Pelodiscus sinensis: one gene and its partners. The protein of the gene in region 1 binds, or shares a complex with, the protein of each later gene. Links are inferred from orthologs where the notes say so. Each region holds a gene or a part of one and is shown in the gene's direction. Other genes may lie near its edges. The genes, in order: PHLDB2, PPFIA1, ERC1 and PPFIBP1.

What was found.
Region 2: PHLDB2 (region 1) and PPFIA1 share a complex: the UniProt entries of both Homo sapiens proteins name them as parts of the cortical microtubule stabilization complex. The link is inferred for Pelodiscus sinensis from reciprocal best matches to the Homo sapiens genes PHLDB2 and PPFIA1.
Region 3: PHLDB2 (region 1) and ERC1 share a complex: the UniProt entries of both Homo sapiens proteins name them as parts of the cortical microtubule stabilization complex. The link is inferred for Pelodiscus sinensis from reciprocal best matches to the Homo sapiens genes PHLDB2 and ERC1.
Region 4: PHLDB2 (region 1) and PPFIBP1 share a complex: the UniProt entries of both Homo sapiens proteins name them as parts of the cortical microtubule stabilization complex. The link is inferred for Pelodiscus sinensis from reciprocal best matches to the Homo sapiens genes PHLDB2 and PPFIBP1.

The regions. Positions count from the first base shown.
Region 1 is NC_134711.1:156,652,212-156,659,515, forward strand, and holds the start of PHLDB2 (pleckstrin homology-like domain family B member 2), read left to right. Parts: upstream 1-4,293; 5' UTR 4,294-4,315; intron 4,316-4,827; exon of another isoform or gene 4,828-5,069; intron 5,070-5,192; exon of another isoform or gene 5,193-5,374; intron 5,375-5,734; exon of another isoform or gene 5,735-5,877; intron 5,878-7,304. UniProt on the Homo sapiens protein: Seems to be involved in the assembly of the postsynaptic apparatus. May play a role in acetyl-choline receptor (AChR) aggregation in the postsynaptic membrane.
Region 2 is NC_134714.1:88,189,095-88,196,262, reverse strand, and holds the start of PPFIA1 (liprin-alpha-1), read left to right. Parts: upstream 1-4,146; 5' UTR 4,147-5,580; intron 5,581-7,038; coding exon 7,039-7,168. UniProt on the Homo sapiens protein: May regulate the disassembly of focal adhesions. May localize receptor-like tyrosine phosphatases type 2A at specific sites on the plasma membrane, possibly regulating their interaction with the extracellular environment and their association with substrates.
Region 3 is NC_134711.1:108,149,875-108,156,901, forward strand, and holds the start of ERC1 (ELKS/Rab6-interacting/CAST family member 1), read left to right. Parts: upstream 1-4,082; 5' UTR 4,083-4,089; intron 4,090-4,369; coding exon of another isoform or gene 4,370-4,437; intron 4,438-7,027. Other genes in the region: DNA repair protein RAD52 homolog, read right to left, coding at 1-39, 809-942, 1,810-2,006, 3,790-3,865, 3,964-4,082, 4,370-4,437. UniProt on the Homo sapiens protein: Regulatory subunit of the IKK complex. Probably recruits IkappaBalpha/NFKBIA to the complex. May be involved in the organization of the cytomatrix at the nerve terminals active zone (CAZ) which regulates neurotransmitter release.
Region 4 is NC_134711.1:120,150,793-120,157,654, forward strand, and holds the start of PPFIBP1 (liprin-beta-1), read left to right. Parts: upstream 1-3,846; 5' UTR 3,847-4,003; exon of another isoform or gene 4,004-4,007; intron 4,008-4,068; exon of another isoform or gene 4,069-4,372; intron 4,373-4,715; exon of another isoform or gene 4,716-5,200; intron 5,201-6,862. UniProt on the Homo sapiens protein: May regulate the disassembly of focal adhesions. Did not bind receptor-like tyrosine phosphatases type 2A.

The DNA.
Region 1 (7,304 bases):
TGTAAACAGGACTGAAGATAGGACACCAAAAGATATAAACATTTGAGACTGAGAGTTATTTGACATTTCAGGAAAAGTATAGTCTTATGGCAGCATTCACATGAGAGAGGTACAATGAATGCTAATCAGACTTCTATAGTCCAATGGCAGAGCAGCATAGACAAGCCCCCAGTGTCTTGCATAAAATCATTGTCCTACTTGAAGAGTCTGTAAGTACAGATGGTTCATTTTTGTGAGCTAAGCTGTTGTATAGTATTAACCTGTTAGATAACAGCTGCTGTGATTCACTGCACAGTGATCCCTCTATTACCTGTACTTACCATAACAACATCAGAAAGCATCCTTAATGCTTGTGGAGTCCATTGAAAAAATATTAGAAGAAAGATCATAGAATCATAGAATACTAGGACTGGAAGGGACCTCTAGAGGTCATCGAGTCCAGCCCCCTGCCCCCATGGCAGGACCAAATACTGTCTAGACCATCCCTGATAGACATTTATCTAACCTACTCTTAAATATCTCCACAGATGGGGATTCCACAACCTCCCTGGACAATTTATTCCAGTGTTTAACTACCCTGACAGTTAGGAACTTTTTCCTAATGTCCAACCTAAACCTCCCTTGTTGCAGTTTAAGCCCATTGCTTCTTATTCTATTCTCAGAGGCCAAGATGAACAAGTTTTCTCCCTCCTCCTTATGACACCCTTTTAGATACCTGAAAACGGCTATCATGTCCCCCCTCAGTCTTCTCTTTTCTAAACTAAACAAACCCAGTTCTTTCAGCCTTCCTTCATAGGTCATGTTCTTTAGACCTTTAATCATTCTTGCTGCTCTTCTCTGGACCCTCTCCAATTTCTCCACATCTTTCTTGAAATGTGGTGCCCAGAACTGGACACAATACTCCAACCGAGGCCTAACCAGTGCAGAGTAGAGTGGAAGAATGACCTCTCGTGTCTTGCTCACAACACACTTGTTAATGCATCCCAGAATCGTGTTTGCATTTTTTGCAACAGCATCAAACTGCTGACTCATATTCAGCTTGTGGTCCACTATAACCTCTAGATGTGCTTCATTGTTAGAAGATGTGAAGATGTGCTTCATTGTTAGAAATGACTCAATAAAACACCTGTCCTGGCTGCCATGTACAGGGGCCAGTGCCGGAGGGGGTGCTAGCCAGGGGAGATCGCTGGGGGGGGGGGGGGTGAATGGCTAGCAGAAGCAGGGCTGGCTGGGAGGTGGGCCAGGGGAGATCGTGCGTGGGGAGGAGGAGAGGGAGAGGAGAACCGGCTGGCAGAAGCAGGGCGGGCCGGGGGGGGGGGGATGGTGGGAGCAGTGGGGCTGGCCAGGGGAGATTGCGGGGGTGGGAACTGGCTCGTGGGGGCAGTAAGGCTGGCTGGGGGAGACCGCGGGGTTGGCTGAGGAACTGACCGGCGGAAGCAGGGCTGGCTGGGGGGCAGGAGCAGTGGGGCTGGGCCAGGGGAGATCGCGGTGGGGGGGAAACCATCTCGCAGGGGCAGCAGGGCTTGCCAGGAGAGATAGGGAGAGAATCGGCTGGCAGGGACAGCTGGGCTGGTGGGGGGGAGGGGGAAGGGAGAATCGGCCAGCGGTGAGCAGGACAGTTCAGGGCGCACTCAGATCCTAAATAAAAATGTAAAAGCAGTGCCTTTTAAATATTCCCACTGCTGACAGTGAGGTTTAAAGGCACTGTAATGTGTCAGAATGGAGAGAACCTGGTGCATTCACCATCCGGAATGAGAATATGGATAAAAAATTCCAAAGATGGTGTCAGCTTTCTGAAAATAAATGAGCCCCTTTTCAATACATGATGTGGTGGTGCAGGGTTTTATTGGATTGCAGTCCATTTTTCCAATCCATATTCCCTTAACTTGCTGGTAAGAATAGTGTGGGTGGCCGTATCAAAAGCTTTGCTAAAGCTGGCTCTGGGGGCTTTGGGAGGACCAAAATCACCATATTTGCATATTTGTAATTTGCTTAATGAATATGCAAATATACAAATGAATGTTACCGGTCCTCCAAAAGCTCGTGAATGGATTTACTGGTCCCCGTATCAAAAAGTTTGGGAACTCCTGAGCTAGATCATAACTAACAGATTTCCAGTAAATGATGGTAATAATTAACACTTTTTATATAGTGTTTTGCATTTTCAAAATATTACAAAAATTCACCAATCCTCACAGGACCCTTATGTGTGGTAGGTAATGTTGTTATTCCTTCTTCACTCAGTGGGAAACAGTGAAAAATTAATTGACAAGGCCACACAACAAGGACCAAACTCTGAATTCAGAAGTGTCTGGCTGACTGTCCAATCTGCCAGAGTAGTTTATATGTCAATGAATTTACTTAAAAAACAAGGAGTCTTGTGGCACTTGAACTAACAGATTTATTTGGACTTAAGCTTTTGTGGGCAAACCCCCACTTCATCGGATGCTGTTGTTTTTCCTGAGACAAACTCACGCACCTAAGACTTGAATTTTTTAGTTCTTAACCTTTTTGTTACTGTGTATGTCTTCTGAAAAGTTTATAGGTACAGGTATGACATTGTAAAATGGAATAAAAATGGGATTTAATTTTATATACATCATTCCAAAAATTGCATAGAACAGTTAGCAGCCACCTAATTTAACATTAACAATTCAGATGCCTACTTTGCCAATCACTCCTTTCTCTTTTCTCTGTTATTAAGCAGCTTCTTTAAACCCACTTTGAAGTCTTTCTCCTCATGTACCTGGCTCCTTCACTGTTAACAGCTTCAAGGAGGTCCCTTTTATTCTCTTATGTTGCATGTAAATAGCCAATGTAGGCCACATACAGGGTAATTGTTATGAGTCCAAAAGCCATAACAAGTTTGTTAGGTTTAATGAAAAGCCTTGGATTCACAGGTGGGAACAGGGTGGTTGTAGGGATATCTGAGTCCTGGAATTTGACTGCCTCTCTCTTTGGGTGCTGCTTTTTTGAATATTTGGTGGCTCAGGTGCTGAGGGCATCTTGATTAATGATGACTCATTACCTGGGTGCTGCCCCAGAGCCAGTCCCAAGCAACATCCAAGCACATGGGGCCTCCAGCCTATTAGGTGCACCTGGTGCCATCTCCTTGGGCAGCAGTTGCCCAGGAGCTAGTGTTACTGGGGTCCCTTCCTCTCTCCTTCACCCTTCTGACTTGAAATTTTACTTTTGAAGTTTATAATGTCCCAACTAAGTTTTCTTTGATGATGATCACAAGTCAGTCACTAGCCTCATTTTGCATGTGTGTTACTGTAGGGAAGATTTCAGCAAGAGACATTGGCTTATGGTTCTCCAGGTAGCACAGTGTTTCCCAGCCAGGGTTCCGCAGAACTCTAGGGTTCCGCAGACCATCGTCAGAGGTTCTGCAAGAAATCGTGGCATAAATAAATACAATTTTTTTTCTTACAATGTAAGTTGACATATATATATAACAGCTCTTTACAAATAGTGTGTGTCTAGACTGGCAAGATTTTGCCAACTGTTTACACTGGCTGCTTGAATTTGCACAAGAGCACTGACGTTCTCATGTAAGAATTCAGTGCTTCTTGCGCAAGTATTTTAACGCTCCCGCTCAGGGATAAGCCCTCTTGCACAAGAATATTTGCGCAAGAGGGCCAATGTAGACAGGCACCTTAATTTTTTGTGCAAGAAAGCCCGATGGCTAAAATGGCCATTGGAGCTTTCCTGCGCAAAAGCGTGCCTATACTGGGCACGGATGCTTTTGTGCAAAAGCATTATTTGCACAAAAGCATCTGTGCCAATCTCGAAGCTCTTTTGCGGAAATACTTTTAACAGAAAAACTTTTCCATTAAAAGTATTTCTGCAAAATCATGCCAGTCTAGATGCAGCCATAAATTTTCCTGACAATAATTTAGCAGTAATTGTATTGCACTCCCCACTGTCAACTTTTCCTGGCCAAACAAATGTTTTCAGAGGTAGGGGTTCCTCCACAGGAACAAGGTTGGGAATCACTGATAGCAGTTGGAGCAACTGAGCTTTTCACCACTTAGTAGGTTAGCTGACCAAGTGGGTTAGCGGGCAGTACTACCATGCAGATGTTGCAGCTTCTTTTTCTGAAACCCCAGGGCATGCAAAGCAGCCTGACTCAACCAGCAAGTGGCCTCAAGTTACTGGGGAAGCAGGGCAGATAAACACACGCTGGGCATCTGTGCAATGCAGGCTGCAGCGTGCACACCTCCTTTTCCTGGGGCTCGTCTGCCGCCACTCCCAACTCAAGCGAAAATCTGCCCTGCGTTTTTCTGAGCAATCAACTCCGCTTGGTCACAGTCGGGTAGGAAATCGACTCATCCCTTGATGTGGGGTTTGCTAAGCGCCGACAGGCAGCTCGCTGGAAGTTTGCTGAAGCTTTGCTCACTGTAGAATTGCGTAAGCGCCCTCCCTCCCCCCCCCCGGCTCACAGCATGGGCCAGGAGTGGCGTCACCGAACTCCCCCGCGTGTGCCTGGGGCGGGAAGGGGCGCGCGCGGTGCCCCTCCAGCGCCACTGCCCAGCCGCTGGGGAGCAAAGGGGCGCAGCGCGGGCCGGGTTCCAGCTTGGCTCGCACGCCTCAGAGCGCCCAATCGTGCCATGAACCGCGAGGCGCGTTTCGCGGTGTCCCAAAGCACCGGGGAGTAGCCCCCATTATTTCAGCTGCAGAGCCCCCCTTCCCTTCCCCCCTTTGTTTGCCTCTGGCTTTCCAGCCTTGCTTAGTTTTCCCGTTCTTGCAATTTCCCTGTTCCCTCCCCTCGTGCCTGTCCCCTCTCCCCCCCCTTTCTTCCCTTCTCTTTGTTTCTGCTCTTCCTCCTGCTTTGCCCCCCCTCCCCCTGCCGCCGCCCCAGCTCGCAGGCGGCTTCCCGGCTGTGTGAGCCCCGGGGGCAGGAAGGAGGCAGCCCCTGCGAGCCGGGCTGGTTTTGGGTTGGGGGCCGGGCTCGGCGTGGGGCGGCGCTGGGGGGAGGGCGGGCCGCTTTCGGCTGGGGCTGGGCGGCGAGGCCGGCTGGCGGGGGAAGGAGAGGGATGCGCAGCGGGCAGCTGCTGCCGGAGGAGGAGGTGAGTGCACGTTCAGCCCGCCGTGTGCTGCTTGCGCGTCTAAGAGCGTGTGCGCCTGTGTCTGTCTCTGAGGGGTGTGTGGGGCGGGGGATCTGGGGACAAAACAGTTGGGTTGGGGGGAGCAGTGAGCGTAAGGAAGGAGGCGTGGGGAGATGCTTGTGCTTGGGACAGGGATTCCCTTTGAACTCCCTCAGCCCCCCTCCGGGGCCAACTGGTTGCATCAAAGTAGTTCAGTCGTTTTCCAGCCTCCCCTTGAAATGTGGACAACCCGCTCATTGAAATTCCTGGGGGCAAACGCTGATTTGGTAAGAGGGGGAAAGGGGGGTGGGGGGTCAGAAGCTGCCTGTGGGAGGAAAATGGGGCTATTCTGACTTGCTTTAAACAGCCTGTGTAAAAGGGGCTTCAGCCAAGACAAAGTGAGCGATTCAAAGCACCCCTTTAAGGATTGCTAAAAGGGGAGGATTGGAGGAGGGGTGCTAAGTGGAGATTTCCTGTTGGGGAAAAAACAGAAGACAGAACCTACTTAAAAATCACAAACCTACTCAAATCTTTCCAAATGTCCCACTGTCGCGGGATCTAAGTAGTTTGTCTGTTCTTGAAGGAAGGAGGCTTTTGTCTCGTCCCTGCTTTTCATAATTTTCATAATTCATACATTTGATTTAAAGGTCACATGCGCCTCCCAAGGGACCCATTGGTTGTGGGGAATGCCTCTGCTACGAAAATGGACCAAGGGTCGCTTTCTGTTTGTGTTCGGAGAACTAATGACTGAGCTAAACAGTTTCCATCCATCGCCAGAGATCTGTAGCTGGTACTTTGATTGGACGATGACCTCTGTTGTTTACAGGATTGTGTGTTAGCTTCTGGATTTATACATGTTTATAAAATACTGTAAAAGTAACTTCCATTCCTTCTCATTGGCCCTTTCAACCTCGTTTTCCTCTCATTTGTATTTTTCCTCTTCTGCTAGATAACACACATTGTTGTGACTTTCCTTTTACTAAACAAAGCCCTTTCTCCCTCCCCCTCGGCCTTATCCTAGCCAGTGGGGATTCCAGACTGTTGCATTTGTGTAGTCAGCAACAGGCTGGGATGCTGTAAACCCAGGCTGGAGTCCTGATTGTACAATCCAGCAGAAAAGCACAGCTGGGATGTGCAAGAAGGAAGTATTCAAAATCACTGATCTCTTACCTGTTAGCAGGGAGGGGACAGAGCAAGACTAAGTTAATGACTCTTTGTTTTATTACTGTTGATTCTTTTCATGTTTCCTCCAGCACAATAAACCTTTAAAGCTTTCCTGATGTTTTTGACTGCCACAGGGGAGTTCAGTTTATGAGCAGTTCTACCTAGGCACAGATATAATTAAAGAATGTGGATCTAGCATGAACTCTGATTGTCTTGAATTAATACTGACTTTTAAACTGTTTGCCAGTGGTGATGGTGGAGAAAGTGGTGGGTTCTAAATTTGTCTCATAGTGATGCAGCCCCAGATATTCTGTTTACAGATCAGCTCCATCCCACAAAACTAAACCATCAGCAATCGGAGCACAGGCTGGTACCCCAACCTATTCTGAGGAATTTCTTCTGGCTCAAGCTGGGGAAGGTCAGAGGTGTGGGCTGTACTTGGACTCTTTGACTTGGCAATGGTTCTTAAACAGAACCCAACACAGATGTATTACCGCACCCCCAGGGGAGATGTGTAATAATGCCATTCAGAATGTGGATGAGTGTGTAATCATCTGCTTATGGTATGTGTGCGCTCTGTTTCAGGGGGAGAGGGATAGGAGAGAGGCAATTTTACTTGTTTTCAAATTTAGCCCTCACTCTGTTTAGGTCCCCATCCCTGCCCCACAGGCATGGTAGTGACTGGGGAAAGAAGGAATGGCAAGGAGAAATACTCCATATCCAGCTGGATACTGACTGAGAGGCAGTCTTTTATGCAGTTCTGTGTATATCTGTGCTGCATATTTCTTTTTAGAACAGTATGTTTCTGTTTTGTCAGCCACATGAAAGAATGTCCTACTGGTATTCAAAGCTACTTGGAGAATTTCAGCCTGATGTAGTGAGGACTGCAGTGACAGCTTTCAGGGCCATTTGTTCAATACATGTGAATGTAGGTAACTTCACACTTGATAGAAAGCTACCTACCTGATAGCTGTGCTCTACTGTGTAAATACTTCTTGAAATTATATAAGATCCTTATGAGGACTAGGTGAGGGGAATATGTACAAGATGAAG
Region 2 (7,168 bases), on another chromosome or scaffold:
GGATAATAGGAAGGAGGGTTTTCAAGTATATTAGGAGGAAAACAATCCTAACAATGGTATTGAGACATTTACTAAAAGGGAATGGTAGAATTAGCAAAGAAAAGACAGAAGTATTGGGTAAATAGTTTTTCTGTATCTGGGGGGAAAAAAAGATGATGTTGTGTTATAATTTTTTTTTCCACTCAACTATCTTCTCAAGAGAATGTTAAACAGCAGCAGCTAAAGTTAGACTTGTTTAAATCAGAAGGTATGGATAGCTTACATCTAAAAGTTCTAAAAAGTTAGCTGAGGAGCTCACTGGACCATTAATGCTGATGTTCAAGAAGTCTTTGAACACTGCAGAAATTCCAGTCCTGGAAGAAAGTCAGTGTTGTAACAATATTTAAAAAGGGCAAACAGGATGACCTGGGTAATTATAGGCCTGTCAGTTTGATCTTGATCCCAAGCAAGATAATGGCGTGGCTGACACAGAACTCAATTAATAAAGAATCAAAGGAGGGTAATATAATTAATGCCTATCAAGATGGGTTTATGTAAAATAGATTAAGTCAAATTAACTTGATATTGATGCAATTACAAGGTTGGTTGATAAAGGGAATAGTGTTGATTATATATGGATTTCTGTAAGATGGTCGAATTAGTATTGCAAAACATTTTGATTTATTAGAATTATATAAAATCAAGATGCCACATACTAAAAGTGTAACTGCAAAATGGAACTAACTAAGCAGGTATCCTTCAGGAATCAGTTCTTGGCCCTGTGCTGTTTGATATTTTTATCAATGATATGAAAGAAAACATCAGATTATCACTGATTTTGTTTGCAGATGACACAAATTGGAGGAATGGTAAATAATGAAAGACAGCACTGATATTGGATAGCTTGGTAAGCTGCATACAAGCAAACAATACATGTTTTAATATGGTGTCATGCATAACCCTTAGAACAGAGAACAGCTGAACATGAGCTCTCAGAGTAATGCTGTGGTACAGAGGGCTAATGCAATCCTTGGGTGTGTAAACAGGGGAATCTCAAGTAGGACTAAGGAGGATACTTTACCTCTCTCTGGCACTAGGGCATGCACTCATGAAATGCTGTGTCTCTGGTTCTAGTCCTCACAATGCAAGAAGGATATTGATAAACTGGAGAGGATTCAGAGTTATGAGAATGAATAAAGGATTAGAAAACATGCCTTTCAGTGACAGACTCAAGAAACAAAGAAGAGAGAGTTAAGGGGTGACTTGATGACAGTCTATGGGGAACAAATATTTAATGAACTCTTCCGTTTGGCAGAGAAAGATGTAACAGGATCCAAAGGCTGGAGTTGAAAGCTAAGCAAATTTAAACACAAAATAAGGGTGTGGTTTTTTTAAACAGTGAGGGTAATTAACCATTGGAACAGGGGTTTTGATAGATTCTCCATCATTAGCAATTTTAAAATCAAGATTAGATTTTTTTGTCTACAAAATATGCCGTGGCACAAGTTCTTTGGCTTGTGTTAGACAGAAAATCAGACTAGAACAGTGTTCTGTAAGAATGTGGCACTCCCCCGCCTCCTCTATTTTGCAGGGGGTTTTTTGGGCGGGGGTTGCTCAACAAAAATTCTGGTGGGTCTTTTTTTTTTCTTGACAAAATTTTACCCTGGCAACCCTAGAGGTTCCTTGAAATTCTTTTAAGCTGAAAAGGGTTCCATGGCCAAATAAAACTGGGAAACACTGGACTAGAGGATCAATTTGATCCCGTCTGGCCTTCTAATTTATGGATCACTGCTGGTAGATGTTTGAACTCCAAATAAGGTTTCTAAATGCATAAACCCAACACCCTTGTCCTGTCACTCACTTGCTCCATTTCTCGCCCCCCTCCCCTTGCTTGCTCTCCCCCACCTTCACTCAGTTGCTCATTTTTACCAGGTTGAGAAACAGGATTGAGGTCCAGAAGGGAATGAGGGATCTGGCTGGGTGTTGTGGGCTCTGGGGTTGGTCCAGTAATGAGGGGTTCAGAATGCAGGAGGGGGGTTGCAGGCTGAAGCAGGGGCTTCAGGTTCATGTTCTGGGATGAGGCTAGGATGAGAGGTTTGGGTACAGGAGAGTGATGTAGGCTGGGGGCGTAGAGCTGAGGGGATCCGAATATGTGTGGGGACTCCAGACTGAGGCAGGGGGTATGGGCTCTGGAATATGGCTGTGGGATTCAGATGGGGACAGAAATGAGAGGTTCAGAGTAGGGATGTTACAGTATAATTGAATAACTAATAAGCACCAGCTTATCGGTTAATGGTGTCAGCTACACTCAGCTGGCTCCTGGGGTGGAGACTTTGCTGTGGCAGAGCAGTGAAGCCACCTCCTTTGGAGCAGAGCCAGCAAGAGCGGCCTGACCTTCTCCCCGGGAGCTAGGCCAGCAGGGGCTGGTAGCCCCTTTCCCAGGGAGGCTTTGCTGTGGGCTCTGCACTATAAAGTTAAGCTTTATGCTGCAGACCCCACAACACGAGTAACCGTGTCACTGCTGAAAATCTCAGCAGTGACATGGTTGCCCTACTACATGATTAACATCCCTAGTTCTGGTTGCAGGTCAGGGCTCTGGATTGGGGCAAGGGGTGTTTGGGTGCACGAGGGAGCTCAACGCTGGGCACTGGGTTGGGGTCTGAGAGTTTGGGTGCGTAGGCGTCAGAGAGCTGGGGCAGAGATGCAGGAGAGGGTGTGGGGTGCAGGCTTTGAGAGGGAATTTGGATGCAGGATGAGATTCTGGGTTGGGCCAGAGGTGCTGGGGTGTGGGAAACAGGCTCTGGATGCTGCTTGCAATTTCCAAGGAGCCTCCCCACTGCTGATGTCACATGCCTTTCAGCTCAGCCTACAGGCACTGTCACCACAGCTCTCATAGGGTGCGGCCCCACACCAGTGGGGGCAGGGTGTGGAGCCCTCTGACCATCCCTTTGCATACGAGGCAGAGGGACATGCTGCTGCTGCTGGGAGCTGTACAGAGCCAGGTTGCAAGCCTGCCAACCGGACTTCTAGTTTCCTGGCTCAAGCTGGAGATCGAGCTCTTGGCCCCTCCCACCCCACTGGCTCCTAGACTGATTCTGAGCCAGAAAGTCTGCAAAGCAATGGAACAACCCTCGACCCTGAAGCCTGTGTGCCCAAGGCAGCTGGCTCGGCCCAGCCTTGGCAGGTGTCTGGTTGCTGTGCTTACATACCCTTTGCACCTCAGCCATATGAATGGGGCAGTTCATTCCACTCAGAACTGCTGTTCCAGGCTATCTGCAGAGCCACCTTAGTAGCTCTGTTCCTGAATCTGAGGGGTTCTGCACAACTGCAATGGACTTAGGGTTGCCAGATGGTTTCAACAAAAATACCGGGCACACTTGACATTACACCACAATCTACAGTACATCTTATTTCGAAAATACAGGGCATTTCCGTTTTCTCATTTATATTTTCTCAATTTGTTTCCCGAATAGGAAGCTCAAATACTGGACTGTCCGGTTCAAAACCGGACACCTGGCAACCCTAAATGGCTAGATTACAGCCTTAGGGGCTTGAGTACTGTCCCGCTAAACTGTTGTGGTACAGTCAAAGCTGTGCAGCCCTCTCCGCCCCCCCACCAGCAGGCAGGCACTCATGTTGGTAAGGGGAAGGGAATCATACTTTCATCATCTAATAAACCATCTTGTTAGTCTTTAAAGTGCTACATAGTCCTGTATTTTGTTTCATACTGACATAAATTACCTTTGAATACCAAGGTACAACTTCATTCCCATTAGGGCTTTAATTATATTGATTTTAACCCCCCCCCCCCCCGAACGGATCCACAGTCCCATGGATAACACGTTTAAGTGTAGGTCGAGTCCCATGAAAACGAAGCGTGCGGAGAACGAGGAGTGGCTGGGGCTTGCGGCCGTCCCGCAGCGGCTCGAATGTCTGGCACAATCAGGCCGGAGGGAAGAAATCCGCGTTTGCGATCGTATTGCACGAACGGGGTGGGGAGCAAGGGGGCACTTCCACAAGCCTCCCCCCAGCGCCGTTCGCTGCACAGCCGCGCCTGCAGTGACTGTGCCGCCTCCGCCGTGACTCTCGGGCTGCGCAACTCTCACCCCGCCCCATCCGCGCAGGGCAGCCGCGGGGTTGGTGCACGCAGCCGCGACACGTCAGTGCTGAGCGCCCGAGGCCGGCCCCCGCCGGGAGGGAGGCGGTCGAGGGGAGTCTCGAACCGGCGGCCTCCCAGCGTGGAGGAAAAAGGGGAAGAGGGACCGGGAGCCCCTCGGCGCCGCGCGGTGCATTCTGGGACCCGCACTGATTTGGGCCCGAGCCGCGGAGAGCGCCGGGAAGAGCGGCCGGAGGCTGCGGGGACGCGAGGCAGCGGCAGCGGCGGGGCCCGGCCGGTTGCTCCGAGGGGAGCCCGCCCAGCCGCCCCCCTCCCGGCTCATCGCTGGGCCTAGGCCGCCGCCGGGGACTGCGCGGCACCTTCCCGGCCTCGGCCAGACCCGCACCGGCCACCGTGGAGGTGGCGGCGGCTGGGCCAGGAGCGATCCGCGCGTCGGGGCAAGCCCGGGAGAGAAAGCGGCGCCCGGGCCCCTCTGCCAGTCCCGACTCCTCGCTGAGGCTCCCGGGAGCCGAGACTAGTCCCGCCGCTTAGGGGAGCGAGGCCTCCGGGAGAGGGGCCCTTGCCTAGGCCGGCGCTCCCCTGGGGCCTCCTGTCTGCTCCGAGATCCATCCTCGCACGTCGGGGTTCCGGAGGGGCTGGGGCACGACCCCACAGCGCTGGACCTCGGCTGCAAAGCAGCGGTCCTTCTTCCCGCAGTCGTCCCTGCACACACACCTGGCCCCCCTCCCTCCGCTTCTGGGATACTCTTGGGAGAGGGCCAGTCGCTGGGCTGCAGCGGGACGTCTCGGCGCCGGAGCCTTTTCTGAGGAGTCATTGGGGGTGAGGGTAAGTGTAAGTGGACGGAACAATAACCCCAAGTACAAATACCTCCAAAGCCCCGCCCGACTTTCAAAGCAGAATCCAGCAGCCTCCACCACTGGGATTATAAATGTGTGAGAGAAGACCCAGGAAACTGAGGGAAGGAAAAGATCCTACTGTTGTTAACAGAGGGGGGGAGAAGGAAAGCTCTTCCAAATACCCTACAAGAAAAGCCATCTCCCGTGTTCTTCCTATTTTTACTCTTTTGAATAATGCGATTGTGACCTTAGAGGGATTTCTGAACCTTGCCCTGCTGAAGCTTGTTGCACCAGCAGGGTAGAAGTGGCTTTGCCTTTGCACATGCTTCCCCCGCCGGGGCTGTTGCAGGAACTGTGGCCATCAGTAGAGAGGAGAGCTGAGACTGGTTTCATTCCAGCCACTCTTTTCTGCCTTGGGGACTTGGCTGATCTGTTGAAGCCATTGCTGCTCCTACTGGACCTATTCTTTACTCAGCAGGTTGATGTATCCTTTTGTCTCTGGGGTTCTTGAGTAAACATTGTACCCAAGGTGGATGGCAGCTCTACAGTTTTTCAGGTGTCTGAGGATCACACACAGCTGCTGAAAGAACAGAAGATAACTGGTGTTGCTGGAATTTTGGGGACTGTTTTCAAGCCATTTTGAACAAGGTAAATAAAATTTGTGATGTTTAAAATAAAAGGGTCTGTGGTTTAAAATGACTTTTAAAAAGTGACACTGTCTCTCTGAAATTCATTGTAAAATCTAAAGAGTAAGATCTTCAGATTTAATTCTGAAATGTAAGCAGTTTTGCAGAAGAATAAACTTCTACTGCTTTAGATGTTCAGATGAAGTCTGAAGCCTGATTTCATTTTTATAGTAATTGAAAATATGGAAGAAGTGTGTGATGAGATGCTTTTTCTACTCCTGTAATAAAACTGATTACTTCTCTGTTTGTATGCGTTTGCAAATGGATTCTTGTAAGCTTGCAAAGAAGGTTAAAGCGCACTCTGCCCCAAGAATTCTTGAAGGTCTTAGTGGTTCAGTATTGATGCTGAATAACAATGCTTTCTCATTTCCATTGCTTTTTAAATCTGAGGAACAGAAGTTTCTCCAAGCTCTGTTTTTAAGTTGTGATGGCTCAGCATTCAAAAGGGGCAGTAAGGTCCTGCTTAAATCAATGATCTTCCAAGTTTGAGCTCCTGTTGTGAAAAAAGTAACAAAGCTTTACCATTTATTAAGCATGATGGCACAAAAATATTCTCATTTTTATAAACTTCTGTGCCTCAGTCTATTTCTCTTTACAGGCATCTTTTACTATTGATATCTACAGTGATAGTGTAATTGACATATTCCTGCAGTACAAATGTTTTTGGTTTTATTTAAGTACTCTTATCTGAGAGTTTCAATGTCTTTTCACCTAAAACTTTGGTTTTTGTGTCCTCTGGTTTTCGTGTCCTCTGGATTAATCTAATCTGATTTTTCCAGTTGCTGCATCTAGAGGCAGAAATGTGCTACTGCTAACTTTTTTTGCACCAAAGTGCTACAGTAAAGATTGTATGGACAGTATAACAAATTCAAAATATGTGTCTCGGTTATGAATTAATCCATCTGTTTTGATGTCAGAATACAGTTTCATGAGTTTGAAGGATCATCTTTTGCTCTTTCCAAATAGTTGTGCAGTTCAGTAGATAATTGGGTTAACTGTGTCTTTTTTTGCTGACTGTGTGTGGTTTCAGTGCTTTTTGAAGGTTCTAGCAACAGATTTTTTTTAAGCATAAATCTCTCAAAATAAGGTAACAGGTAGTAAGTACCATAGAAACACAGCCTTGCAAGAAAATCACAAGGTCTTTAATGGGAAGTGGCACTAATATTTGGAAAATTTAGTTGTACACTGCATTACATCTGTTGTATAATATTACACAACATAGTTGTAAACACCTAAGTTATTTCAGCCTCCTTGGTGAGTATCATTGGTGGAGCTAAATTGATAATGTATTATGGTCCTAATTTTTCTTGGTATAGGAAAGGGACTTACACATTCTGATTTGCAGACCTTTTTTTGGTAGATGTACTCTTTGTGTTTTTGGTTTCTACTAATAACTTTACATTGAATTTTTTATTTCAAGATGATGTGTGAGGTGATGCCAACCATCAGCGAGGCAGAGGTTCCTTCGGGGGGAAATGGAAGCCATGGTTCAGGCTCCCCTTTACAATCGGATACTGATTCCCATTTTGAGCAGTTGATGGTATCCATGT
Region 3 (7,027 bases), about 49 Mb from region 1:
CTGGAGTGCTATGCTTCATCAGTGACTGAAGAGATGCTTCTAGGCACAGGTAAAGAAGAACTATTAGTGCCACAAAGGCAAAAGACACTACCTGATGCCCCTATGGGGGAAGGAATTCAGGTAATTTCAGAAAGATACTAACTGTCCTACATCCACTTCTTGCCACTCACTAGAAATGGGGGTGTGGAGGGCAAGACACGAAATGATATCTGGTAAGGCCTACTATGCGCAATGAAAATATCCAAAAATTTCTTGAACTGTAAGCAGAGGTTTGGTTTTCTCAATATTCCCAGTTGGTACTCTATAGCAGCACTGGCTAAGCCTTTCCTAAGAGAACATAATGGCAATTTTGATCATGTCTTGTTTGAATCCACAGCCGTGACCTATAGGGAACAAGTATGACTTGAGATTTCTTTTTATAAGCTTTCTTCAGTCAAACAAGTGGTGGTAAAATTAGGCAGCTGAACAGTTTAACCTTGTAGGTCCTGACTCCAGCCTAACTCACGGGTAAGGGTGGGTTGTGACTACTCCAGCACCTTGGTCAGGGCTGTTGGTCAGGAACCAGAGAGGAAAAAAGCACACCCCTGATGGACATAAATTACACTGACAAGTGGCTGTGATCAATGCTATCCCTGCTTGGGCATAGTTTAATTATGCAAAGGGGAGAGGTGTCTCTCACTTGCATACTGTAGGTCCATGAGAGCCCTTACTGCAAAGCACCTGCTGTGGCAGACCTGTGCTGCTGTAATGTTTAATGTAGATATAGTCCCGGTTGTTAGACTAGCAGATTAACAGTGGCCTGCCCTACCCTGTTTGCTGATGGGATTGGCTACTGCCATCTGATGTTTTTTTTCCATTTGCTCCCGGAACTGCTGCTGAAGTTGCTTCTGCCGTAACTTGCGCTGGTAAGTGGCATCGCTCCCACAGGCTAAGATGCTACTTCTGCTCCAAGAAATAAACACACAGTCAGATGGCACTTCAGCTATAATTACACAGTAGGAAGGGGGAAGTTTATACCAATAGCATGCTAGGGAAAATCCAGCTATGATAGATGGTTCTTCTATCACACTTTCCAACCAAAGCTGCTCCCCGAACTCCCAACATGCTTTACAAGCATTATCTATTTACAACTTCAGGGTTGTCAGGGAGGCTTAAGTATTACCATTTCTAGCAAGCACAGGACTAGGACCTGTCCAAGTTTATACAGGAAATCTGTGGCTGAAACCCTGCTCTTGTGCCTGAACCATATACACAAACCTGACCCAAACTCGAGTAGCAGAGTATTTTGAATTACATATAAGACAACATTTATCACTTCTTGTTGCAGGCTCTGGAATGGGAGGAGCTCAAGCCAATGCAAATATTGCATATACAGTTATGTGAACTGACTATGACACCTGCTATGGTGCCCAAGCAGAAGTAGAGCGCTAACCACCTCACTCAAGAGTTACAGCCTTGGAACCTCATGGTTCTGTTCCTGCCTGATAAGGAGCTGCCTGACTCCTGTATTCTCTGGCTCAGAGCCACAGTACTGTGCACCTTATAAAGTAGCTCTTAGGACTGAATGCCTCCTAAAAGCTCCTGGAGGAATGTGGGGTATAATAGCTATGGATCAAATATAGGGTTGGGTATTGTCTGAATTAAAAGAACCAGCCTTCCACTTAACGTGGCTCATATATGCTCTGGTCACTAGAGTGATATGGAATTTTGGGAGTAAATGGAGGAATTTGTACATTTTAAGCACAAGGTGACCAGAACTGGGGAGGGGTGCTCATTTATAGTACAAAGTTAAACAGATTAAACACTCACCTGGAGCTATTTTGCTGCTCCTGTTCCGTTGTGCTTGAAGAAGCTGTCTCCTGGCCCTGTTTGTGTGGGGACACGCTCTCACAGTGCTGGGGTTGCCCTGTACTATGTTTCTGCAGACAGCTACTGTATCTTGCCTTCTCTATTGCAGGCTCAAAATCTTGCCTTTTTGCTTTTGTGAAATCCAACTCAGGAGGCAGCTAATACAGGAAAAAATTGTAATTCATTGACCAATTCTCCCCGCCCCATTAACTCTAAAGTCACAGACACTCAAAGCATCTTACAACAATATTTCATGTTTTGTGTCCCCCTCTCTAGCAGTTCTTAAACCAGTATCTGGGCCGCTTTTGTCCTTAAAGGATTGGTTTGGTTCTGTATTCTGAAAGGAGTTAGTGGTTGTTTGCAGACCACTATCATTGGCAGTGTTAGTGAATGTTTATTGGCTAGCCTCTATACCAACACACAATAGAATATTTAAATATAGAAGTAATAGAATCTGGACAATCCCACAACAGGGAGGTAGGTAGGTAAGGGAGTAAAAAAAAAAAAAATCACACTTTAAATTTATAGATGTGTACACAGACATGTGTTAGAGCTGGGCAGACCATTTTCTTCCCTTCAAATGCAGGAGTGGAATCATATATTCCACCCTTTAACTGAGCACATATTGAGGGAAGCTAGATAGAACAATATAAAGTGGTGTCAGAGGGATCTCTCTCACCCACATACAACTGGGGAGTTTGCAGTGTCCATATTAATTCCACAGGAAGCTGCAATACTGTGCTTCAGCCACCATTGGTACTGACTGAGATAATAAATCAGCACCTCCAAGCCCACCCACCTGATTCCAATATGGCATTCTCTATCTATCAGGTACTGATAGCTGCTCCTCCTGGATCCTTCCCTTAGGTCAGCACTCCCAGGGCTCTACATCTGCATATAAGACTCTCTGGTAAACTGGAACTAAAGTCTATGGCAAGCTGTTCTAATTTCTGTAGCATACTAGATATTCTGTGGTGGCTTCCAAATATATCAAAGTGGAGGGGTTTCATTATAGCAAATATGATAACGAATAGTCAGTACAGGAGACCAATGAAGTGTTTTTTATATTACATTCAGCACATTTTTCTTAGCCCCTAAATTTTCAGTTCTCTGTATGCTGAAGATTTCTGCAATGCAGTACTGTTAGAGGAGAGCTGAAACTTTCAACAGCTGTGCAGGGGGAAAAGTAGTGGCTGGCAGCACTTCTTTTAGACTAGAGCTCCCACTGTTGTTTACAAATAGTGAAAGCGGACTGGGGGCAGTTGCTGTGGGATGCTATCTGAAAATTTTCTAGTTTAAAAGAAGCTCTACTGTACATAGCACAGTACAATATTTCAAGTAACATGTTTTGATGTGGCACTGGAATTAGTTCATCCCTATCTATAATAGTATTTATTTAAACTATTACCAACAAGGGTGCAGCTGGACCCACTAGCAGTAAAGATACAGAATGGGCTGGTGCTCAGAAACTATAGTGATTGGAATGAGATGGGAATCTGACAAGAAGAGAGTAAACAAGACCCCTGGAAAGAGAAACAATGGGTTTAAGTTTCAGAATTGTATAATTTTGATGAGCTATTGGGAAAAATATTTTACAAAGAATAGTCAAATAACTAGCAGCCAAGGAAGATTGTGGAATCATTGCCACTAGACACATTCATGGTTTCCATCCCTTTCAAAACATGAATTGAACCAGTGACCTACCAATCATTCCAAATTGATGTAGTTTCCTTCTTTGAGTTACCAGCATAGTGGATAGGTAGAAAGCAGTAGATACAATATATCTAGACTTTAAGACTTGAGCCAGTCACACACTACATTCTTATAATCAAACTAGGGAAATACTGTCTAGATGATGTGGGTATACAACTAGGAACAAGGAGGTTCCTGGCAAACTAAATTACTCTGCTTTCCCCTTCTCCAAAGTCCCACATACTGCACCTGACGAGGAAGTTTATTCACTGATCGCAGGTAATCTTTGTCCAGGATGCAGTTCCCAAGAGCATTTCCAAAGCACCTGAGGGACAAGAGAGCCTGCCATGACTGAGAATTTCGTATTGTATTCTTATGCCATCTTTTGAAAATGAGCAAGAAATGTTCAGGTTCTCCACTTACTTTAGTGCCCTCTTTAGCCCATCTGTCACTGCTTCTTTCCTTGCCTTTTCTAGGGACAATGCCTTGGACTTCAGGCCCTCACTCACTCCATAACCCACGTCTTCATGGTATGACCCATCCTGAGAGGTGAGTTAAAAAAAATGAAGGAATCAATACTGGAACTTTTGCTTTTAGACAGCTGATTAAAATACTACATCTCTCGTTTGTGGACTATATGTATTAAGTGGCTTGGAATGTATTCTCTAGTAAGTTCAGCTTTCCAGGGGCCCATAGGATTGTCTGGTTTGACACAATACTATGGTGTGTTGCAGTTCAGCTCCACACACACAGTAATACTGTCATTCATGGTACTTAATCAACTAGCAGTTCACCAGCAGATGGAGCAAACAAAATCACATCCATTTACCTTGAGTTGGACTTTTACAAATGCACAAACTCCTACATAGAATTTGCCATTGTTGAGATCAACAAAATCTGGGGAGAAGAGGAAGGAGATGGAGTTACAACAGAGATCCAAACAGTGTATCTGTCAGGGATGGTGTAGACGGAGCTTGGTCCTGCCTTGAGGGCGGGGGGCTGGACTCGATGACCTCTCGAGGTCCCTTCCAGTCCTATTATTCTATGATTATGGGGTGAAATTTCTACCTCATGCTCATATTCCTAAGAAGCTTCAGAATTAAACCTGGTCTATACATAACATTTAGATCAAACTCATGTGCCAGGATAAACTTTCACTGCTGAGTCTTCCACATCAGCTACCATGCTTGATCCACCATTTATATTACAACCCACAACAAAAGTAGATCTTTGGCAACAAAATACCACACCAAGTATTGGACTTTCCACTTGAAGGGATATGGGGCCATACCTTCCTTCCTTGTCTCTTAGATACCAAGTGCCCTGAGGAAATGAAGTCAGCATTTGCATGCATGATCATGATGGCTCCAGCATGGATGAGGCAGTGCAGTGACGGAATGAGCCAAGCTTTTTGTGGGGGTGGGTGGGGAGGGGAGTCACTCCCTGCTCCCCCAGGTCTCTATCAATTCCTCCACTACCACCCCCCTTCCTCCTAACATTAAAGAGGTCCCTGTCTCCTGCAGCTGCTCTCCCTCCATTTCTCCATTGTTGGGACTGAAAATTCTAATTCCCTGAAGGAGCATGGGGTATGTTGTGCATTCACATAAACAGGAATTTTGGTTAACTCAAATGTGGATAAAAACAAACTTTATCTGTACAAAATATGATAGAAAAATAGGAAAATAAACTGCAGGGCATCCTAAAAAGCACCCTGATTGAACCGTGTACCATTCAACCAACTTGCTATCTTTGGCATGCTTGCTGCAAGTTGACAATCCCTGCCAGCTATAAAAAGAATATGATTTTATTAAACACCCGAGGAGCCATTTGGCCTGGGAAGAATTGGACATTACATTGGTGGAAGAGGGGCCAGAGAAGACAATTCTAGAGAATACTAAGTAATAGTCAACATGTACTTGCCAAGAACCAATCATTCCAAACCAATCTAGTTTCCTTCTTTGAAAGGGTTACCAGAATAGTAGATAGGTAGAAAGCAGTAGATACAATATCTGGACTTGACACAGTCACACATTACATTCTTATAATCAAACTAGGGAAATATTGTCTACTCTAGATGATATGGGTATACAAATAAATGAAAAAAAATCATATTAAGAGATAGTTATTATTTAGGGATGTAAACTATCATTTAAAAAGTTAACTGATTAAACACTGTTTCACATGGAGCAGTCCCCCACCTGCGATTGGTGGGTCCAGTCAGACTACTAGGTACAGGAAAGCATCACCCGGCAAGGTTACTGGGGACCCCGCCCCCTTACATCCCTTTTATTATTAGTAGTAGCAATAATATAATTGATGTCAAAGTGTGAGGACTGATCAAATGTGGATCTGAATAGGTCTTACGTCTAGTACGATCCAATATTTTAATCAATTATTTGGATAATGGAGTACAGAATATGTTTATAAAATTTTCAAATGACACCAAGCGGGGAAGGGCTGTAAGCATGCCTGTGGATAGGGATGTAAAATTCAGTTTAACCATTTAATTGGTTAAAAAGGGGCACGCTGGAGCAGCCTCCCTGCCATGGGCTGGGGCTCCTCCAGTGTGGCTGTTTACAACCCCTTGCAGGGCTGCAGGTGCCCAGCCCATGGGGGGCTGGAAAAAACAACTCTGTGTAGGGCTGCCAGCTCCCAGCCCCTTGTGAGGGCCTAGCGGTGCTGGAGCAGACCCTCCACCTAACACAGGTGGCGGGGGAGGAGCGGTTGCTCCCCAAGTAACCAGTTATCCATTAACATCCCTAATTGTGGACAGAATAAGAATTCAAAAAGACCTCACCAAATTGGAGAACTGATCTGAAATCAACAATGAAATTCAATAAATACACATATCAAAGTGATGCACTGAGGAAGGAAAAAAAATCAAATGCACAACTACAAACTGCAGTAGTATTGCAAAAAAAATCTGGGAGCTATAGCAGATCACAAATTGAGTAAGAGTCAAACATGATGCTGTTATAAAAGAAGGCAAATGTTATTCTAAGATGTATTCATGTAAAAGTTGAGCAGTAACTGTTCTGCTCTACCTGGCATTGGTGAGGCCACAGCTGCAGTACTGTGACCATGTTTTCAAGGCTTCATGCTTTCCAAAAGATGTGGACAGATTGGATAGACTCAAGAGGAGAGCAACAAAGTTGATAAAAAGTTTAGCGAACATGCTATGAAGACGGGCTGAAGGACTGGGCTTGTTTAATCTAGAGAAGACTGAGCAGAGACATAGTCTTCAAATACATAAAAGTCTTACAAAAATAATGGTGATCAATTGTTCTTCACAGTCTCCAAGAGTAGGACAAGAAATAATCTGTTTAGTTGTCAGAAAGGGAAATTTAGGAAAATCTTACTAACCATAAGGGTATTTTACCCAGGGAGATTGTGGAATCCCTGTAAATACAAGTTTTTAAGAACAAGGTTAGGTAAAAACCTCTCAGGGATGGTTCAGGTATATCTAATCCTGCCTCAAGGTGGGAAG
Region 4 (6,862 bases), about 37 Mb from region 1:
TCCACAGCGTGATGGCGACCCTCTTCTTCACGGGGATGGGTGCCCGCAGCCAGGTGGCGGCTCTCTGGAGCGGGGGGGTGAGCCAGGTGCACAGCTTCATGAAGATCCGCTTTCTCATCCGGAAATTCCTGATTCATTGCTGGTCATCCCATAGTCCGAGGACCACCCGGTTCCACCAGTTGGTGCTGCTCTCCAAACTCCAGACGGGCCTCTCTACGGTGGGGTGCTGATGCGACAGGGTTGCCAGGGCAATAAAGTGATAGGGAATAGCCAGCATGGGTTTGTGAAGAACAAGTCATGCCAAACTAATCTGATAGCTTTCTTTGATAAGATAACGAGCCTTGTGGATAAGGGAGAAGCGGTGGATGTCATATACCTAGACTTTAGTAAGGCATTTGATACGGTCTCGCATGATATTCTTGTTGATAAACTAGGCAAAGATAACTTAGATAGGGCCACGATAAGGTGGGTGCATAATTGGCTGGATAACCGTAGTCAGAGAGTTGTTGTTAACGGTTCTAAATCCTGCTGGAAAGGGATAACAAGTGGAGTTCTGCAAGGGTCTGTTTTGGGACCCGTACTGTTCAATACAGGCAGTCCCCGGGTTACGTACAAGATAGGGACTGTAGGTTTGTTCTTAAGTTGAATTTGTATGTAAGTCGGAACTGGTACATATTGTAGGGGAAACTCTAGCCAAACATTTTTTTTAGTTTTGGATAGCATAGGGAAAGGTTAACTCCCCTCTAATGTTTGTTTTGCTGTCTGTTCCCCTGTTCAGAAGATTTCACATCTATTTCTGTCCCTGTGACAAACTCAGGACTAAAGGAGTAACTCATCAAATACCAAACAGCTCTGCACCATGCTTTGAGCTAATAGCTTTATTTCCACACACCACCCAGGGTTCTAGGAGGAGGGTCCTTTTTTTGCTAACACAATGAGGCCAGCACTTTGTTTGTGTTGGTGGAGTCTTTGTTTGCCCAGGGAGCCCAGCATGTATAGAGGGGAGGAGGAGCGGAGAGGCTGCTTTTGTCTGTTCGGCAGCCTGTTGCTCAGGGGAGGGGGCAGCCTGTTGCTGGCAGGGGGGTGGGTGGGGGGGCAGCGGGCGTGGGGAGGCACTTTTCCTCTGCCCGGCAGCTCTGCGGGACCCCAGTCAGAGCCGGCCCGAGGAGGAGGAGGATCCTAGGACCCAGGTGAGTGAGCCCCGGGAATGCTGCTGCGCATGTGCGGGAGTTGCCTCACCCCGTTCGTATCTAGGGATCCAACGTAAGTCGGATCCACGTAAGTCGGGGACTGCCTGTATCTTCATCAATGATGTAGATATTGGGATAGAGAGTACGCTTATTAAGTTTGCAGATGATACCAAACTGGGTGGGGTTGCGACTTCTTTGGAGGATAGGGACATAATTCAAAATGACCTTAGCAAGTTAGAGAAATGGTCAGAGGTAAACAGGATGAGGTTTAATAAAGAGAAATGCAAAGTGCTCCACTTAGGAAGGAACAATCAGTTCCATACATACAAGATGGGAAGCGACTGTCTAGGAAGGAGCATGGCAGAAAGGGATCTAGGGGTCATAGTGGACCACAAGTTGAATATGAGTCAAAAGTGTGATGCTGTTGCAAAAAAAGCAAATATGATTCTAGGTTGTATCAACAGGTGTGTTGGTAGCAAAACTCGTGAAGTCATTCTGCCGCTCTACTCTGCACTAGTTAGGCCTCAGCTGGAGTACTGTGTCCAGTTCTGGGCGCCACATTTCAAGAAAGATGTGGAGAAATTGGAAAGGGTACAGAGAAGAGCGACAAGAATGATTAAAGGTCTAGAGAACATGACCTATGAAGCCAGGCTTCATGAACTGGGCTTGTTTAGTTTGGAAAAAAGAAGATTAAGGGGGGACATGATAGCGGTTTTCAAATATCTAAAAGGGTGTCACAAGGAGGAAGGAGAAAATTTGTTCCTCTTGGTTTCTGAGGACAGGACAAGGAGTAATGGGCTTAAAGTGCAGCAGGGGAGGTTTAGATTGGACATTAGGAAAAAATTCCTAACTGTCAGGGTGGTCAAATATTGGAATAAATTGCCACGGGAGGTGGTGGAATCTCCCTCTCTGGAGATATTTAAGAACAGGTTAGATAGACATCTGTCAGGGATGGTGTAGACGGAGCTTGGTCCTGCCTTGAGGGCGGGGGGGGGCTGGACTCAATGACCTCTCAAGGTCCCTTCCAGTCCTATGATTCTATAATGGCTCATTTTTTTGCATGGAAGAGTGATAGAAATCACGGAGGCAAAGTGTGGACAAGTTACGTAGTGCAACAAAGATCATGTTTGGCATCCACAGTTGGCATCTTCTGATTCAGAAGAAGCTAGTTGGGGAACAAATTTAGATCTTCGCAGAAGGTGATCTACAGGAGTGGAGGGAGGTGGGATTGCTTACATAACGAATACTCAGTGTAATTAAGATAAAGGCCAACTTTAATGTTATTTTCTGGCTCCATTCAGGAACTATCAGTTCAAGAATACAAATTATTAATATCACATCACATAGCAGAGGCCAGTACCCACCATCTCCAGAAGTTAAACTTAAAAAACAATAAATGGTCTGGTAGCACTTTATAGACTAACAAAACATGTAGCTGGTACCATGAGCTTTTGTGGGCACAGCCCACTTCTTCAGATGACCTGAGTTTTGAGTTTAGGATGTGCAGACCCAAAATAAACATCTCCAGAGGCCATGTTACAAGAAGGACACTATACAAGCTATTATCCTTAAATGCTTGCTTTTTATTATTTTTATTTTAGTAGTAGTAATATTTTAAAGGTAGGAGCTTTGTAGTGGTTTGCATAGTTGTTAGACGATCCCAAACATAGTAAAAGCGATGACTTTACTGATAGTCCCTAAAAGAGGGGAATTGTGGATGCTCTTCCTGTTTGGCTCATTCAGAGTTCATTTTTTTAATTGTATCCTTTGGTATATATGGCTGTGACTATTTTCTTCCATTATTTGATCTGAGGAAGTGGGTCTGGCCCACGAAAGCTCATCATCTAATAAACCATCTTGTTAGTCTTTAAAGTGCTACATTGTCCTGCATTTTGCTTCAGAGTTGACTGTGTGTGCTGAGTTAGTGAGTATGGGTTACTCTGGATAAAGCCTGTATTGAAATCCAAATGCTTGGAGCATGTTTTCTAATTACGAGGGAGCCAAACTCCGGAGATGTTTGTGTGCAAGAGGTTTAGAGAATGCAGCGCTGGGTTCCTGTTTTCCTCCCTACTCTGTTGCAGGCAGCTTTCCGCGGGGTGCCCACAGGTTGCTGGAGCCTAGCTGGGAACAATCCCGGGAGTATCAACAGAGGCGTTGCAGGGAGGAATCTTTGGGTGTGTGTCTGTGTGGGAGTTGCGAGACGTTGCTCTTCGGTGGGGGTGCAAGAGGCGTGTCCTAAGAAGTTGAAAGTTGGGGAAGGCGCTGGCCCTGATTTGGAGCGTGTGTCGATTCTGAACAGTCTGTGTAGGGAACACCCCCAGAGAGTGGGGCAGCCCCGGTGTCAATCACACTTGCAGTGTAACCGGGGAGGGGGGTTGTTTACACTTTCCTTTTGGGCTCGGAGGTCAGGACTGTCCCATGCAGAAGGTGCCCAGCATTGGCTTCCTGAGCGCTTCGTGAAACCACCGCCCCCTGCCCAGAGACACCAGGGAAGTCGCATCCACAGCCCCCCCCCCCCCCCGTCCCGATTTCCAGCAGGACTGGCGCTCCCCGCCTGGAACGCACACATGCTCTGCCTGCCCCTGAGTGACTGCTCCCGGCCCCAATGAGCTGGAGGGTGCCGGCTGCCATTCCCGCCCCTCCCCGAGCCTCTGTGGCCATTCCCCGCGGGGAGGGAGGTACCTGGAACCGGAGTGACGTCAGCTCCCAGCTCAGCCCCTGCTCGGATTCCTGCCCTGGTGCGAGAGGCAGGGAGCGAGCCCGGCGGGGAGGAGGGGGCGATCGAGGGTTTAACAAGGCTGCCCAGGGAGAAGGTACCGCGCTCGGCCTGGGGGAAGGGGCGGCAGAACTTTTGGGGAGGGACCTGGCTGCTTTCCACCCAGGTAGCTGGGTCGGATTGGACTTTGGTGGAAGTCAGGAAAAGAGGGTGGTATTGCAACACGGGGCTGTCTGCAGCTGCTGTTCCTGGGGCTCAGCTTCCCTCTGCAATTCCTGCTCCTCCTTCCAAAACAAAACCTGTCCCTTTCTCTTCTCTCTTGGCCTCTGGGTTTTTACTTGAAGCGCGGGGCTGCTCAGTAACGGATCGGGCAAAGCTCCCACGGAAGGGCGGCGAGACAGTACCTAATTCAGTCTGCCTTGCAGCATGACGGTGTTTGTGTCCGTGGGAAGGTTTCCTGTAGAAGGTTTGTTTGCAATAGTTGGAAGGATTTGTTTGGGGAGGAGGTAGCAGAGTGTGAAGGAAAATGCTGAGAGATTGCAGACCGAAAAAAAGTGGTGGGGGAGGCGATTGTATGCTTTGTAGTACATTGCAAATCTGGTGTTTGTAAGGATGTGTGTGTGTTTAAATGGTTTCTCTGTGGAGAAAGGGGGGAGGGAGGATTCCTTGAAAAAGAAAACCTGGTGCCTTCAGGTGCTATAAGTTTCTGGCTTCAGGCTTATACCATGCTATGTGGAAAAGAGAACAGGAAGCATTGGTTGGTTGTAATGTTGCTTCAAATAACATGCTTAATTTGTTGCAGTGTAGTGACTGAGACTAGGGTTCTCAAAAAAAATCATCTTCTAGAAGCTGATTGAGTTCACTAGCACTATGGGTTTTCTCATCCCCAAGAAAGGCTGTAGGTGCCTTTTATTTAATTAAAAATGTTGCACTCAGTAAGTTATTTGCATTCTGTGGGAGGCTGTGTGAAATTCAGCTGCATGTGTTAATTGCAAACCTGTCTCCTAAATCTAAGGGAAAGCAGCCTTTTGGGAAACATTTCAGTTGAGCAGCACAGATAATCCTGCTCGTCTCAGCCATTTCCGCTTTCCTCCTTAATTTTAACACAGGAACATTTTCTGTTGCTTTTAAAGTTCTGCTCTTTCTGGAAAGTGAAGGGCTCATGTGAACATAGACTTCTTTATTTCCCCTGATTGCTGTGGACTCCAGTTTCAACGGGCAAAGTTAGAAGGAGATCTGGCTAATGCTTATGCATTGCAATGAGACAAATCAATCTTGTGCCTACTAAAAAAAGGTAAAGAAGCAACTGTGTTTAAAACTTTAAAAGCCATATCTGCCTTGGTTACTTTAAACTGTATTTAGAGATTGTGTAGCCACTCTCTTGGAGAGAGCTGTCGACCTGTCTCCCCCCTCTTCCCCTTGCTGCAAAAGACATTGCCTGTTTCTTGATCTTTAGCTAGGGTTTGACAGAAATAATCTAGGGTGATGAGTCATGTTTCCAATGTTTTGCTTTCCTTAGTCCAAAGGAAGGTAACCCCCTTTCTTCCCACCTTGTAGCATCTCCATAAGGGAACAGGAATTGGCTTCGCTGTGAGTGAATGGTTAGCTGGCAGCTAGACTCATGGCACTAGAGTGGTGTGTATCAAATGGCATCCTCTCCAGGCCAGCCAATAGGGATGAAAACTAAGTGTGTGTAAGTGTGTGTGTGTGTGTGTGTAAACAGGTGATGACAAAATTTAGACTACTGGACTCTGCTAACTAGCCACTTACTAGGCTTGAAAAATGAAGCTGATTAGAAGAAGGTCTAAATTTAAACCTGTCATATTTCTGTTACTGTGTAATATAGTGCATTATAGCAAAAGGGTTGAATCTGTGTCTGGTTTGCCATACCGCGTGTACTGGGATGTATTCTTGAAAGTCACTAGCTACAAGCCATGGAGACATTCTGCTTCTAGGAAGATGGTAGGAGAAAGGTGTGCTTAAGTTCAAGCTCTTTCATAATTCATGGATTCAGTAGAACTCTTCCAAATACAACCATTAAAAAGCTAGGTGTGCCTTGGGTTAGCGATGTTTCCTTCTCTAAGGCCTGGTCTACACAGTCTTATATAACTATTTTGTTGTGCTCTTTGTCAGACTGTTTAAACCAGTGTAACCCTTAGTGTGGATGCAGCTATACCAGTATAGAAATTCCTTATACTGAAATAGCTTATTTACCTTCCCTAACATCAATAGTTCTGCTGGTATAACTGTGTTCATGTGAGGGGGATTGTATACTGTTGACTCTTAAATGAAAATGCTTGTCTATGCACAAGAGTAGTTAGTATTGCTTTAACTATGCCTGTGTAGCTAAAGTTTAGTTATCTTGAGAGCTTTCAGAGGCTTTGCTGGTTTGGTCTGGTTGCTTTGACCCCAAAAAGGATTTCAATAGTAAAATGTTTGAGTGGATTGTTGGAGAAGCAAAGTGGGTGAGGTAATATCTTTTATTAGGACAACTTCTGTTGGTGAGTTGGAGCAATAAAAGATATTACCTCACTCACTTTGATATCCTGGGTCTGATATCCTGGGTCCAGTATGGCTACAGCTACACTGCATAAGTTGTTCATTGATGCCATTTCAGTATATGCCACAGAGCTGAGCAAAACAAGTATCTGCATTCCTCAAACTGAGTCCTCAAAGGAAAAATGTTCTTCATGCTTGTGTGATCAAATGTCTGACAATAAAATGTCTTGGTGTGTCAAATCCAGATTTATTGCTTCTATTAAAGGCAAGAGTCATAGTTTAAGAATTAACATTTGTGAAGGACTTCTGACTTCTGGTCACATTGTAAGTGTAGATTTCAGTAAAATCAGTACCATGGTAATCAGAGAGGCATCATTGAAGCACTGGGTTGGGAACCAGGAGATATGGGTTCTGTTTTGCTTTGATGCTGACTTGATTTATTAAGTCTTCTAAGATT